2 linked regions of the Oreochromis niloticus genome follow. The protein of the gene in region 1 purifies or fractionates together with the protein of each later gene. This does not show direct contact. Links are inferred from orthologs where the notes say so. Each region holds a gene or a part of one and is shown on either strand. Other genes may lie near its edges.

Region 1 (7,064 bases):
AAATTGTTTTTACTTTATTGCCTAATGATCATTACAAAGCATAAAAGTGATAATATTTTATTTGATAGTATTTCAAATAAAATTGGGCTACGAAAAGGAGATGCTGGCAGGTCGTTATGTGCCCATATGTAAAGTGCAGCGTTCTGTACTGCTGACCATAATGTTTTATTACTGCGATTACAGCATGCTGTAGGTATTAAAGGTATGCTGAAGTGGTTTGAAACATGGAGAGTCCTCTTCACACACTAAGATTAATTATGGAGTTCCATAAGGTTCTGTGCTAGCACTAGGGCTGCTCGATTATGGCAAAAATGATAATCACGATTATTTTCACTGAAATTGAGATCTCGATTATTTGACGATATTTATTTAACAATAACAATGTATTGAATAATGACTTTAAAGATGTCAAAAAATAATATAAAATAGTGTGCAAATAATGATTACAGTGGAAATGTTTGCAATATAAAAAATAAATGAAAAATGTAAACATCTATGTTTAGTGAACTTCAAAATACTGCACAATATTTGATCCACGTCTGACTCCGCGAACACATAATGTTTCCACACCACTGAAGTCGTTTTATCTCTCTTTTCAACCAGCGGCATTCTTTCTTCAGCAGCCATTATCCTCTCCTCTACAAATAACTTCTGCTTAGCTTTCCGAGCTTTCCGAGCAACCCTCGGGTCCTCTTAATTGTTGTGACGCGTGTTCGAAACGCAGAGAGGTGCGCTCGATTTGCTACACGGAGCAGAGCGAGAGTAAAGCACGAGGGAGGTGCTAATAATCGGCTTAGTCATTTTTAATGATCGTTGAAAGCCCAGATCGTAATCTAGATTAAAATTCGATTAATTGAGCAGCCCTAGCTAGCACCAATTATTTTTACATTATACATCCTTTCCTTAGGCTGTATCATTAGAAGGCACAGAATACATTGTTGTTGCTATACAGGTGATGCTCAACTTTATCTATCCAAAACAGATAACACACACTATTTAGTTAAACTGCAGGAATGTCTCAAAGGTGGGTAGATGACCTCTAATTTTCTGCTTCTAAATTTAGATTAAAAATTAGGTTATTGTGCTCGGCCATAAAAAAGTCTTACAAATATGGAATCTAGCCTCTGGATGCCACTACCTTGACCTCCAGTAGCACTGTGAGGAGTCTTTGAGTTGTTTTTGACCAGGATATGGCCTTCAGTGCACATATTAAACAAATATGTAGGACTGTTTTCTTCTGCACAATCTCTCTAAAATTAGAAACGCCCTCTCTCAGAGTGATGCTGGAAAACTAGTTCATACATTTCTTGCTTCCAAGCTGGACTATTATTTTAAAAAAATGCCTAAAAACTCACTGAAAAGCCTTCAGTTGATCCAAAATGCTGCAGCAAGAGTACTGACGGGCACTTGAAAGAGAGAGCGCATATTTCTCTATATCGGCTTATCTTTACTGGCTGCCTGTCTGTGACTGTCTGACAATCCAGGTTCAAATTTAACGTTCTTCTCATCACATACAAGGTCTTGAATAATCAGGCCCCATCTTATCTTAAAGACCCCACAGTACTGCATCACCCTAATAGAGCACTTCGCTGGAACACAACGTAGAGTATGACAATGGAACACTGTGAACTATGGGTTATTCCCTGAATTGAGGGGAAAAAAAGAGGAAAAAAAAAATGGGGTAGACTTAAGTGTCCATAAAGGGCTGAAAAATGTCAATGAGAGAGCCACTGACAATTTGTCAGTAAGACAGTTCCAGGCTGTGAAGGCCTATACTGTTTTCTGCAACCAAGTCTATGCTTTTCATACAGAATCTTTTTCTTGCCCCTCACATTCCTGGTGAACTCCAGAACAGGAGAAGCAGTTTAATCCCACTTGCCAATCAATCAGGCCTACAGGCCTACATGCTGCTGAGTTTTGGAGAACTCCACGAAACTATGTTTGAAAGGATAGGATAGGTGTTTTATGGTTGAAAACTCCTAGCCATAGGAAAAAACATATACCTATAAAATACCAAAGGTACTGCAGTGCCATAGGTAGGTTGTGTACGACAATACAAAGTTGCCTCAATTTTATAATGATGGTCTAGTTCACCTGTGCGGACTGCACCTCATATTGACAGCGAGTTAAACTTAAAGACATTTAAAGCAAACTCAATTTGTGCTTTATGCAAGTCAATCTATGCTGCTGCAAAAAAATATTCAGCACCCAAACGTCCAATTACTTGTGAGCCCTTAACGTTCGGGTATCCTGTATCAAAAGGGTAGTTATCTCCCAAACGCGTCTTTAAATAGTGACGTAAACCTATGTATTATTTTCCCTTCAACACCACACGAAACACGACGTTAATCAGCTGCAGACACTAGGTTTTCTGATGTTGGGATTTGTACAGCTCTTAGCTACGCAACTTGCCTATTAGCACGCTGTTAGCAAACAAATAGCACCGCTGCGGTTTTGTTTTCACGAACGATACATGTTTGTTTTTCTTTTTAAATGAAGAATCTACGATAGTCGTCTAAAACAGCCTAAGAGGTACACTTACCAGACATTTTGGTCCGTCAAGCACCATAGCTAATCGTGCTGAGCATGTTAGCTGTATTTAAATTATGACGTTCTGATTGAATCCCTGATGCTCGTGATGCTCTTAGTATACATATAGGGACACAATTAAAAGCATCGAAAAGTAAGATCCAAGTAAATGTATTAACATCAGACCAAGTTAATGCAAAACTGCACGTGAAACACAACAGCATTAGCATTTAGCATACCAGCAACATCACTACTAGTCACAAAGTACAGCCGGGCTAGCTAACTAGCAACAGTTCGAGGGAACAAATAATTGTTAATTGTGCCAGACGGCAAATACAATTTGACTTTATATACATATAAATGACGACGTGGAAGGACTCACTCTGTACTTCACGTTCACTACGACAGGTCTATTAGAAGCATGGTATATGGACAATGGAGAACACCGTGGTGACGTACCGACGGTTGCATATTGTTGCTATGAGGACAGTTACGTAGTACAATATGACAGTCACGTGAGAGCTAGTGAATCAAAATAATAATATCTGAGTTTATAAACTTTATTTTCTTAATGATAACATTAATTGTGTATAGAGTGCATGTAGGCCTACTATAAAACCAATGCTAAGTTTGGAACCGTAGAAAATATTAATACAGCCCCCACTTACTGTATACAAGTTTTTATCATAAACTATCCAATTTAGGGGATTTCTATCTATTTATGTATTGTTAAAGAATAATTACTAATTTTTCATTTAGTCTTCCAATAGAATAACATAACTTTTTTTTCCCCAAAAGTTGGAAAATCCCTGTTACAACAGCTAAAACCAATCAATAGCTTGAAATTTGTATGTAGCACAACAAAATTTCCATAAGGTAAAAACTTCATAACACAAAAGAACTCAGTTAAATAGAGAGAAAATAAAGGTTAGTGTGTAAAAAGCTAACTATAAAAAAAAATAAATGAGATAAAATGTTTATGCACATCAGAGATGGTTATGGAGAACTTTTCTAAAAATGTACCTATTTGAGCTGGAATTGATGTCAACTACACTGAACATTCTTGGGGATGGTAAAAGTTTAAAATTCCATTTTAAAATCTATTTATGAACATTCTCACATTATGGTGGAATAACAATACTTTTCAGGTTTGAACAATCAGGTTGGGTGCACTGTATCAATATGAAAAAGGTGGACAAATAAATTATCCACATATATTTTTCAAAGATTCAAAATTACACTTAAATTGTTAAGCATTTTTAATTTAAAGTTATAGGATTCAAAATGTATTGTTAATTAATTGTTTTTTAATTGTATCATTGCTCATGTCAGATGTTTGGAATTTTTTTTTTTTGCTTATTTTTGATAAAAAATAATTTAACAGAGAATCTAATGCTGACAATTAACTTACTTAATTTAAAACAGATGGGGGGGGGGATGAAAAATTATGTTTTCTAATGAAAAATTGTGAACGATGCTGCAAAAGAATGTAGTTGTATAAATGTATACTTTGACTCATTTTCAAAATCAACTTTGTTTCTGTTGTCCTCTTTTGACTTTGTCAGTTTCGCAAATAAGAGATGATTAAAATAAATGAACCTAGATTGATCCTGATGCATGTAAAGGGGAAGACGGATGGGACAGGAAAGCAAAAGGGATGATTACAGCTGTCCTTTCTTGATGAAAAATGGCCCTGAATTATGCTAGAAAGAGGCCGTTTTTATCAGCTTGTATCAAAATACTGAGGATATCACAGTAGTGATCACTGTCATCATCACTATCAGCATTTTCATCCTTTTCTCTCCTGCTCTGCTTTGATGAACATGGAGCCTGTTTGCAGCTGATAGTGTTGAAGGGAATGTGTTGAGTACTTTGTCTGACATTGAAATCAGTGGGATAATGATCGTCAGGCCAGGTAGAAGTATAACAGCCACTTCATTGCACCTGTTTTTCAAGCAGAAAAAAAGGGTTTATGCCTATAGTCCTTATGTACTAGTATAGTAAAATCCTCAAAACACTCCCCAAACACAAAAGGAAATCAGAAAAAAAGTTTTCAGAAGTTGAGACCAAGAGAAAGTGAGGTGAGGATGGTCTCTCTCCAGCGCATCACATATGGAAGTTTAGGCATTTAAATGCACTGTGTTTAACTTTTGTGTCATTTTTCAAAATGCAATCCAACATGACATTGTCATATGCACTGGATTCCTCAGTTGGAGCCTTAAACAGGCTGCCTTCTGCTAAATGGGTCAAACTGGGCAGAAACTATACAAACACATAACATCCTTATAGAATATGATGTAACACTATAGATCAACTTACCTCAGAATATATAAAGCATATAAACAATTACAGCAATATGATGCAACAAACACAGCAGTGCTACTAATCCAAAATACTCAAAGCTTCATAGAACTGAAACAAACATTTATTTTTAGCTCCATTCTGCTGCTGATACATACTTCAGGTTTCTGAATATTAAACTTGTTGCTGCCTTTCATAGTGTGTAACTTGAAGGCCCTGAGTACTTTCTCCCACACTGAAAACACTGGAATGATAAAATTATTTGAACATTACCTAATAAGACTGATTCAGGACAGACAATTAGTTATTTTAAACTTTTCTAGCAGTCCTTCACAAACAGGGAACAGTCTGTCTATTCTCTCCATCTGTCAGCTGCTGCTGGCTCTTCCTCCTCCTCTTCCTTACACACTGCTGAGTTTGTCATGGTGGATCATCAGGGGTGCAAAGCCTCACAGATGATGTGCAGCAGTGGGTCCCTCAGTCTGTCCTCACTCTGGACACTTGCAGTCGTCACACATGGAAGTCAAATTTGTGATGAGCTGCAGGATTCAAACACAAGTGTAACTTATAAATACATGTTCATACTTTTATTCCACAATCAGAGAGAAAGAAAAAGAGAGAGAGTGCAGGACAGACAGACAGGTGACAGTCTCAGGTGTACACACTGCTACAAAACAGCACAAGAGGAGGAGGATTTAGTGTTTGTGTTATTACGAGTGCTAAACAAGAAGAGCTCCCAGATGCTACAGTGGACACATGTGTGACTGCTGTGATTAAAGCATCTTTCTTTCAGCTTAACGAGTGAACCGTCAGCTCGTTCAAACACACGTTAAAGTCCGTTTGGCTCGACACCACCGAACAGAGGCAGCAATATAACATAGCTAACATTAACAGTGCAGTGAATCCTGCTTGTGCCGTCATATTCAGGACTGCAAACCGAGCAGCATCACTGACTTTCAGCTTGTTGTGTTTGTGGATATATGACTGACTTTAATTATCCATGAAATTATCACATTCTCTGTAAGATTAAGGTCAACTATATATGTATGTATATATATATTGAAGTAGAGGCTTTAAAACCAAGTTAACACTGAAAGTACTAACATCGCTAATGTCACATAACTTTGCCGACATGTGGCCAACAGTAATGTTTTAATGTTCTTCATTATTAAACATTCGCACATAAATGACATCATATTCAGTACTTACTTTTGACAGTTCACTCTTCGGCAGCTCCCTTCTGCCGTCTGCTGTATTTTGCGGCAAAATTATCCACACCCACCACCGCGCTATGAATTGTGGGATATATGGGACCACGAAGCGTGCACCACGCTTGATATTTGGGGAAATCGACGGTGCATTTGGAGTATGCATTTGAAGTACACTTTGGGCGTTTCTCAATATGCGTACTTGTGCGTACTTGCGTTCTCGTGTACTCGTGATACGTCATCAGTCGGAGACCAAGTACTGTTCCAATTCGAAGCACGCATCAAGCTGAGAACGCGAAAAAGTCCCGGATGTGTTCTCGATCCGCCCATTTTATCGAGCATGCATCGGTGTGGACTTGGTACAGCTAAATATCCCAGAATGCATTTCGTCCAAAACTCAACAGCGGACTGCCGGCACATCGTTTTCAACCCCCCCCCCCCCCCCCCCCCCCCCCCCGCTCGCGGTCTTCTCACTACTCAGGTTAAAGAAACCCCAGCAGCTGTCTATAGTATTGAGTGTCCACTAAAATAGAAATAAAAGCGTTCTAACATCTCACCTGCTTGTTTTTATTAAGGTATGTACACGTATGTACATGTACACTATTTTTATTAATAGAGGTTTCACTACTGAGGTTAAAAATGATATATAAGTCACTTAGATCACTTCTAAATGTTAATGTTTGGTTTATTTCAGTGTTTTATTTGTTCCTGAGTAAACCGGTTTGGCTGTGATTACAGTTAAGCTTCATAACATGTTACTCACAGTTAAATTAAGAGGGGACGGCAGTAAAAACTCCGGACCTGTGACATCATCACGTACGCAGGTGTTCCAATTGTACATATCGCGAGTCCGTGCTCGCGTTCTCGGCGGGTACGTACTCCCGTGCATTCTTGGCGAGTATGTACTCACCGAGAACGCGAGTACGTACTCGCGTACTTGAGAATTGAGAAACGGCCTTTGTATTGGGACAGCCGTCGTCGCGTGGCGGTGACGTAATCGCACTCAAAATGCGTACTTCAAGCGTG
Region 2 (7,034 bases), on another chromosome or scaffold:
CTTGTATTGCATTTGAGGGCATCAAGCTACGATCTGTTAGAAGCCGTCAGAATTTCTTTGTCAGCTCCAAACACACGGTTGCTATGGATTCTAAGGGAAGTTTTTCCCTAAGCCGTTTTTGTGCAAAGTGAAAAATTACATGATGCTTTGCTGGTCTGAGGTATTGTTAAATCTGGCAAGGGATATTCTGTGTTGGCAGGTTCCAGATGAATATCGCTTGCTTCTGCTCTCTTTATTTTCTTCCACTGCTTTCTCAAAAGCTGCACTCCATAGTTGGACGTGAGTGAAAACATAGAGATTTGTTTTTAATCCTTTTGCAGGTAATCTTAAAACAGATGGAAAGAAATGCCAACAGAAATGTTTGACACATGTCTCTCCGCCACTGTGGGCTCACTGTGTAATCCTGTCTCGAACTTCTCTGCTGACCTGCTTCTCCTCGGGGGGCAGCTTGCTCCACTCGTTGCCCAGCATCCTTGTAATCTCTGGAAAGGGCACGTCTGGACGCTCTGCCCGTAGCTGCTCCCGTCTGTCGTTCATGAAGCGAACGTAGCCCGTCAGGGGGGCCTTGGGAGCGTTGCTGTCCTTCATTGGCTTCTTCCTCTTCCTCCCCTTGGTCCAGCTGCCACGTCGGGGTTTCTGCGAGATAACGAAAACAAACATGTTTTAAAGGTTCACGTAGGAGTTCTACCCTGACGTGTACTGGCAAGACTTTCTTTCAGTGTGAACTGGAATTTTTATTAATTTATATATGTATTTTTTTTAAACGTGTCATTCGATATCTGTGTGTTCACCTCTTACCTCATCTCCGTTTCTCTGGCTGTTGTTGTCAGCATTGGCTGCAGGTGAGCCCGTCTGCTCATCCATGACTCTTACGACGGAAGATTAGATCTGGAGGGAAACACTAGATGTTAGAACAAAAAACATTTCACAGCAGAAACGGCCAATAAACTATTTTTAAAACATGAATATACGATCTCAAAAGGCCAATGTTTAGTTAACCTAAAGATTGTGCCATCTATGGCAGTCAGGTGAAAAACTAGGCCATAGATTGCTGCCCAAAGGTGGGTTAAGCATTTTGAGACTGATCGGCTTCTTGTCCAAACTCCACCCAGGCTTGGCTGCAAAACAGTCTCTTGGCCAGCCTCATTTCCTCTAATAGAAATGTCTTGCTGCTATCAATCACAATTGAGCAAGTAAATGAAAAAAGAAAAACATAACACATTCACTTCTCAAGCACTAACGCAGCCTATTTTTAACAGCAGCAGTGTGGCAGTATTGCCTTAAACTTGGAGATAAGAGAACACCACTGAACGTGCTAAAACACTCTCTCAATAAAAGCACACTCACTCACCAAATATCAGTGCTTTAAAAAATGAGATTAACTGGAATCGCCATATTTTTGGAGTCTCTAACCCACTTGAAAACACTGCAAAGCATCGGTGCAAAAAACCCCAAATGAATGGCAATAGCACCAAATTAAAACCTGTGCTGATTTGGGCAGCTGCAGCCCAGGTTGAGCTGTAAATATAGGAGCAACATTGTGCATTTTAACCTTTGACCTCTCCTTTGACAACATGGGAAATACACCTCTTTAGCCTGGATGTGGTTTCTGCCCTCTGCCATTAAATACTGTGGGAAAAGTCACAGAGGAATTAGTCAGTCTACCACAAAAAGCTCTTATGGAAAGCCCCCCCCAGAAAAGAGGGGTAAGCCAGGGTTTTCTTTGTTAGACTTTTTTTCAGACCCTGAAGAAGTGATAATAAAATCCAGTGATTCTGCAAACTTATCCCCCATCTGTCATCCAAGGAAGCTTATTTGATGTTACTTTAGGAGTTCTGGGTTAGGTTGTAAGACGCTGGGTTTGACTATGAAAAAAAAAACTCACTAAAAAGTAAAAACGAGCACAGAAAAGACTAAACAGATGCTCTGTGTAGCAGAAAAAGGCTATGCCACAGTGCCCTCTGCTGGACCTTAGCACATGATGCATGACTCAAATCTCTTTTCTCCAGATAAAATGGTCCACTATCACAATCTGTGAGATAAAATATGAGGTTTAATAGTTTCACTTTTTACACGGTGACATATTGAAGCAGTATGTGATCACCATAAGGCATATACCAGAGTGCGCTTTGTCCTTTATTATAGTATACAGCTTTACTTTGGTACAAGGAGGTATCTAGGCCAACTGATGTTTCTATATTTTACACAGCAGCAGCTATAAATTATTAGACACCGCAGGATGCTGTTAGGTTAGGTTTAGGAGCTCTCTGTCAGTCGTTACGACGTTTATGTATGTGTATGTGGGATCTTCTCTGTGTGATAATCAACCATTAGCGTTTAGCCATTAAAGGCCTAACCCCTGAAGTAGTATGTTTAAACAGTAACACGCTAGGCCAGATAGTGATTAGACTTACATTTAACTTATGTAGCTAGATGTTTATGTGGGCTATTATACTGATGTATCGCTAAAAATTAAATAAATAAATAATAATCCATTTGGCCAGCAGGAATAGCGAACTATACTGGCTGCTACATGATGCTAACATACACTTGCTAAGCAAAGCTAACTTCAACAGCTGCGACAGGCAAACCTCACTCTTGGGCTGTGTGTCAGCTGAATGTCAATCAATCGACATAAAAAAGGGAGACATATTCAAATGATAATTATCAGAAGTAACAAGCTAACACTAATATATTAAACTTCTTAGCTGATTGCGAAGTGTGCTCCTAGCTAGCATTAGCAAGCCATTAGCATGAAGATGGGTCATCGAAAGCCTTTGTTTTCATTTAACCTTGACATGTGATTTGATACATCAGGAATCTAAATATTTTATGTGGATATAACGGAAGCCATTGTGTGGAAACCAACCTTATATAACGCACCCTCTAGCTGGAGCTGCCCAGAATATTTTCCTAATCAAAACAATAAAAATGTCCACTCAGATAGAATCGCACCAGATAGACAGAAAGCATGGGGGCTCCTGATGTACTTAGTCCTACTACAGACGGTTTTCCCTACGCGTATGATTTGATGTTTCATATTATCAGTGCTTTTTTGGCAGTTATGAGAAAAGCAATGTATTTATAGCGCAATGCGACTTTTCTGAATATATATATATAATAGGCAATACATTTATACATTTGACTGTAACTGGGTGGTCTCTGATTCCACCCATGCAAAACAAGCACCAGAAAAAAACAGCATAAGAAACGAAAATTAGAAAATATTTTCTACGTGATGTCTTTAAAACCCCCAAAAGCTGATTTTCTTTGATTCTATACAGCGAACTGCTCTATGCTTTCTAATTCTTGGTCTCATTTTTCTTCGTGTACCCAACCAACCACCCTCATTTAGAGCGCTACCTCCCCCTACGGTTGAGTATAAGCATTACATGTCTTAAATGGATACGTTTTTCAAAGTCAAAATCTCTTGAGAAATTTCAAGCCTTAAGCCTTTCTAATCAAACACAGGAACAAGCTACAAACCAGAGCTTGTTAGAAGTATTTAATGGATGAGATGAAAATCTTTTTTCTGATTTGGGCTGCAGTTAGGAGTCTTTAATCTTTTTGTAATTTATAAGACAATCCACATTAATTCAAGTACCACTGTTATTTATTTTATTTAGCCTTTATTTAACTAGGAAATCCCTCGAGATTATTCTCTCTTTTGCAAGGGAGGCCTGTCCAAGATGGTACACCATTGCAAAATTACAAATTATAAATGAATTATAACTCAGTACACATAAGAGGAAATAAGCAGGTCAAAGTTAACATAACAGGAACATAATATAAAAATAGAATGAATAAATACATAGAGTCCAGCTTATGAATAACACTTGCACTCTTCAAATGCAGAAGACTTTATAATAGCGCTGAACTCTCCAAGGGAGACTAACACATTCAAAAAAAGAGAAGTTTGCACTACCAAGTTCAGAAGAAATCCTACAGAGGAGTGCAAATTAGTAGCTGATGTTTTAGGAGTTTACACAGATAAGAAAGGGTGTACAAATATACCAGTGCTGTTTACCAGCTTAATGAGGGACAAGAAACCAGATTATAAAATGATATTATTATGAAATGTAAAGTGCAGAGAAGGCAGCATGTATGTAAATGTGTGAAAGGTAAAGGTGAGCATAATCAAGAGAGTATAAGAATGCACAAGGTGCTCTCTAAAGCATAAATACCTAAATATTTATTGGTTGATACTCTTTCAATAAAGTCTATGCCTAGCAAATAAAAACAAACATTTTGTGAGAGATCTGGACGTGTTTTCTGGAAAGCAGCATTATGCAATGATGCAATGATAACTGTGGGTGGCTGTAGCTCATGAGGTAGAACAGATCACCAACTGATCGGAAGGTTAGTGGTTTCCTGGACTCCTGGATATCAAGTATCCTTGCTCTATCCTTGTTCTGAAGGATACTGTCAAGATATTAACCCCACATTGCTCTCCGATTCATCCATCAAAGTATGACTGTAGTTTAGAAGAAAGTGCTTGTGTGCCTGGGTGAATGTGGCATGTTGTACAGAGCGCTTTGAGTACTCCAAGAGAGTAGAAAAGTGCTATATAAGAATCAGTCCGTTTACCATCTGATCCAGACTGAAGCCAGCTGAGTAAAGTATTGTGTCACCTGCATAAAGTTCCACTTTAGCTTCCCAATGTTATTAATAAAAAACAGAAAATTAAACAGAGCCATTATCAAAACAAACTAAAACTGAACTTTAGGGGATTCCTTTTAAAAGTTTGACTTGTATCCATCTGTATAAACATAGTGTTAATACAGATGGCTGGTTCAAGTAGCTCCTGAGCTGAAAGCAACATCACTGAGCCTAACAACAGCTCGGTCTACAGAATCAATGCCTTTAGCATAACCCATTCATCTGTGCCGCCTCGATTAGCAACCGAGGCGGCACAGATGCTTCCTGTCCAAGGAATTAATGATATTAATATAATTTGTTACCAACCTATTTGTTGCTATGACCTAGTCTAAGGCCAGACTGGGTTTCACATACAATCTTATTGTCAACCAAGTATTCTTTCAACTGAGAGTTGCATCCACATTGAAAGTGTGGATGCAGGGGGATAATTGTTTAAATTTTAATAAGGGGCAAACATGGCCTGTATTTGTATAGCGCTTTACTAGTCTCTAAGGACCCCAAAGCGCTTCACACAACCAGTCATCCACCCATTCACACACTGGTGATGGCAAGCTACATTGTAGCCACAGCCACCCTGGGGCGCACTGACAGAGGCGAGGCTGCCGGACACTGGCGCCACCGGGCCACTGACCACCACCAGTAGGCAACGGGTGAAGACTGTCCAAGCCGGGGCTCGAACCGGCAACCTTCCGATTACAAGGCGAACTCCCAACTCTTGAGCCACGATCGCCCCGAGAGAGACATAGACTGCTTTCCAGGTATTATTATTTTCCAGGTATTATCATATTATTCTAGGGACTCAGATTAAAAACAGCCATAACAGGCTCAATAATAAAATCAGCTACATGCTTGAAAAGATAAGTATTCAGACTGTCAGGTCTAGATAACCTTTTTTGGATCAGTGGATTTCAAAGCTTTGCGAGTCACCACAGTCAAAACAGGTCTAAAGACAAAAGGGTTCTTTGAAAAGGCAAGATGACATTCAAATCAGAACACAGACACTTTGCCACATTTGTATTAAAAACAGAACTAGCTGTTCATTAAAATGTCCAACAATGTCAGCTTTACTCTTAATCTCAACTCATTTAATAAATATATATTCAGGCAGGACTGGAGTAGAACTGGGAACATGCCAGTAATTTTATCTGATTCCAAAATTTAGAGGGATTATTCAGGTTTTATGACATTGTGACTTTGACTTTTGAGTCTTAGACTTGAAAAAAGTTACATGTGAAGTTATTACATTACACTAACTGTTAATATAATTACTTTATAGATCAAGTAAAAATACCTGTTCCTCAAGATTGTTAAAAATACCTTTGAAAAGCAAAACAAGGTTGTGTTTGTTCTTTGTAACTAAGGGTGGATTTGAGTACACATCCACGTAGGTGTAGATAAAATCACAACTTTCTCTGTGGGTTAATGTGGGGTGTTCAAACAGTCTTGGTGTGAGAAACAGAACTAAAACCTTCGCTAAGATGCAAGATAAAAGCGTGTGCTTCCGAGAGGGAGAGCGAGACAGGGAAGGCTAATGCGCTAATTCTTAATTAACAGATCGTAAATCGACACCCAGGCAGGAGTAAACCAACTGTAGCTGCAGTCTAATTAAAACTTTGATTGTAATCTCACTCCAATTATCCTGAGGTAATCCAACCCAGTTCTTCGGCACAGATTGGGTGCATCAAGCCACCCGTTAGATTTTTAGAAAAGAGAGTCTTTATTTATTTATTTATATATTTATTTTACAATATCTTGTTCACACAATCACAACATCAAATTCCAGGCAATATGAGATCTCTAACATTTAAACACTATGAAGTTTAGAATCTATTTGCTGCTATTATTTCAAAAAGAAGTTTTCATATTAAACAGAGCTGCCTTGATTTCTAGTGTAGCTGTTGGTTATCCCGTTGTACCCACAGAGGTGCTGTAGCAGCAGTTACACTGACAAAGTGAGCTTGTCCTGGCAGGTTAAAAAGAGGAGTAACAGCTCTAAGTCAAGTGTCTTGTGGGTACATCTCATTCAGAGCCTGCTGTCTGTGGCAAAACTGACATTTTTGGGTTTTTCTGCAGTGGGATTTTTCCCTGCAGGAAAATATTGAACACTAGTGCAAAAACTCTAAGTCCATGCATCTCAAACCAAACTCTGACAAGCTACACTAAACTGGTCAATGCAACACGGCCAGAAAAGTTGTTTACCATATGAGGCTGTATTTTTTTTCTCCACTCTGGGATTTAAAATAATAATGACAATGAGCACACAAAAAGAACCTGATATTGGCGAGGTTGGAAAAAGCGTCCGGCAATAAAAATGGCAACTCTACCAGCAGATATTTCATATTCTAGGTCTCTAACAGTCATGAATTTTATAAGAG

What was found. Proteins that work in one complex are often made in the same cells at the same time.
Region 2: the proteins of phf14 (region 1) and hmg20a purify together in Homo sapiens (affinity purification with mass spectrometry; 3 studies listed by BioGRID and IntAct, counting the BioPlex papers as one, with this or other methods). This does not show direct contact. The link is inferred for Oreochromis niloticus from reciprocal best matches to the Homo sapiens genes PHF14 and HMG20A.

Annotation. Positions count from the first base shown.
Region 1 is NC_031985.2:37,420,490-37,427,553, reverse strand, and holds the start of phf14 (PHD finger protein 14), read right to left. Parts: upstream 3,019-7,064; 5' UTR 2,912-3,018; intron 2,644-2,911; 5' UTR 2,550-2,643; coding exon 2,543-2,549; intron 1-2,542. UniProt on the Homo sapiens protein: Histone-binding protein. Binds preferentially to unmodified histone H3 but can also bind to a lesser extent to histone H3 trimethylated at 'Lys-9' (H3K9me3) as well as to histone H3 monomethylated at 'Lys-27' (H3K27ac) and trimethylated at 'Lys-27' (H3K27me3).
Region 2 is NC_031972.2:45,102,499-45,109,532, reverse strand, and holds the start of hmg20a (high mobility group protein 20A), read right to left. Parts: upstream 3,024-7,034; 5' UTR 2,870-3,023; intron 889-2,869; 5' UTR 865-888; coding exon 799-864; intron 637-798; coding exon 427-636; intron 1-426. UniProt on the Homo sapiens protein: Plays a role in neuronal differentiation as chromatin-associated protein. Acts as inhibitor of HMG20B. Overcomes the repressive effects of the neuronal silencer REST and induces the activation of neuronal-specific genes.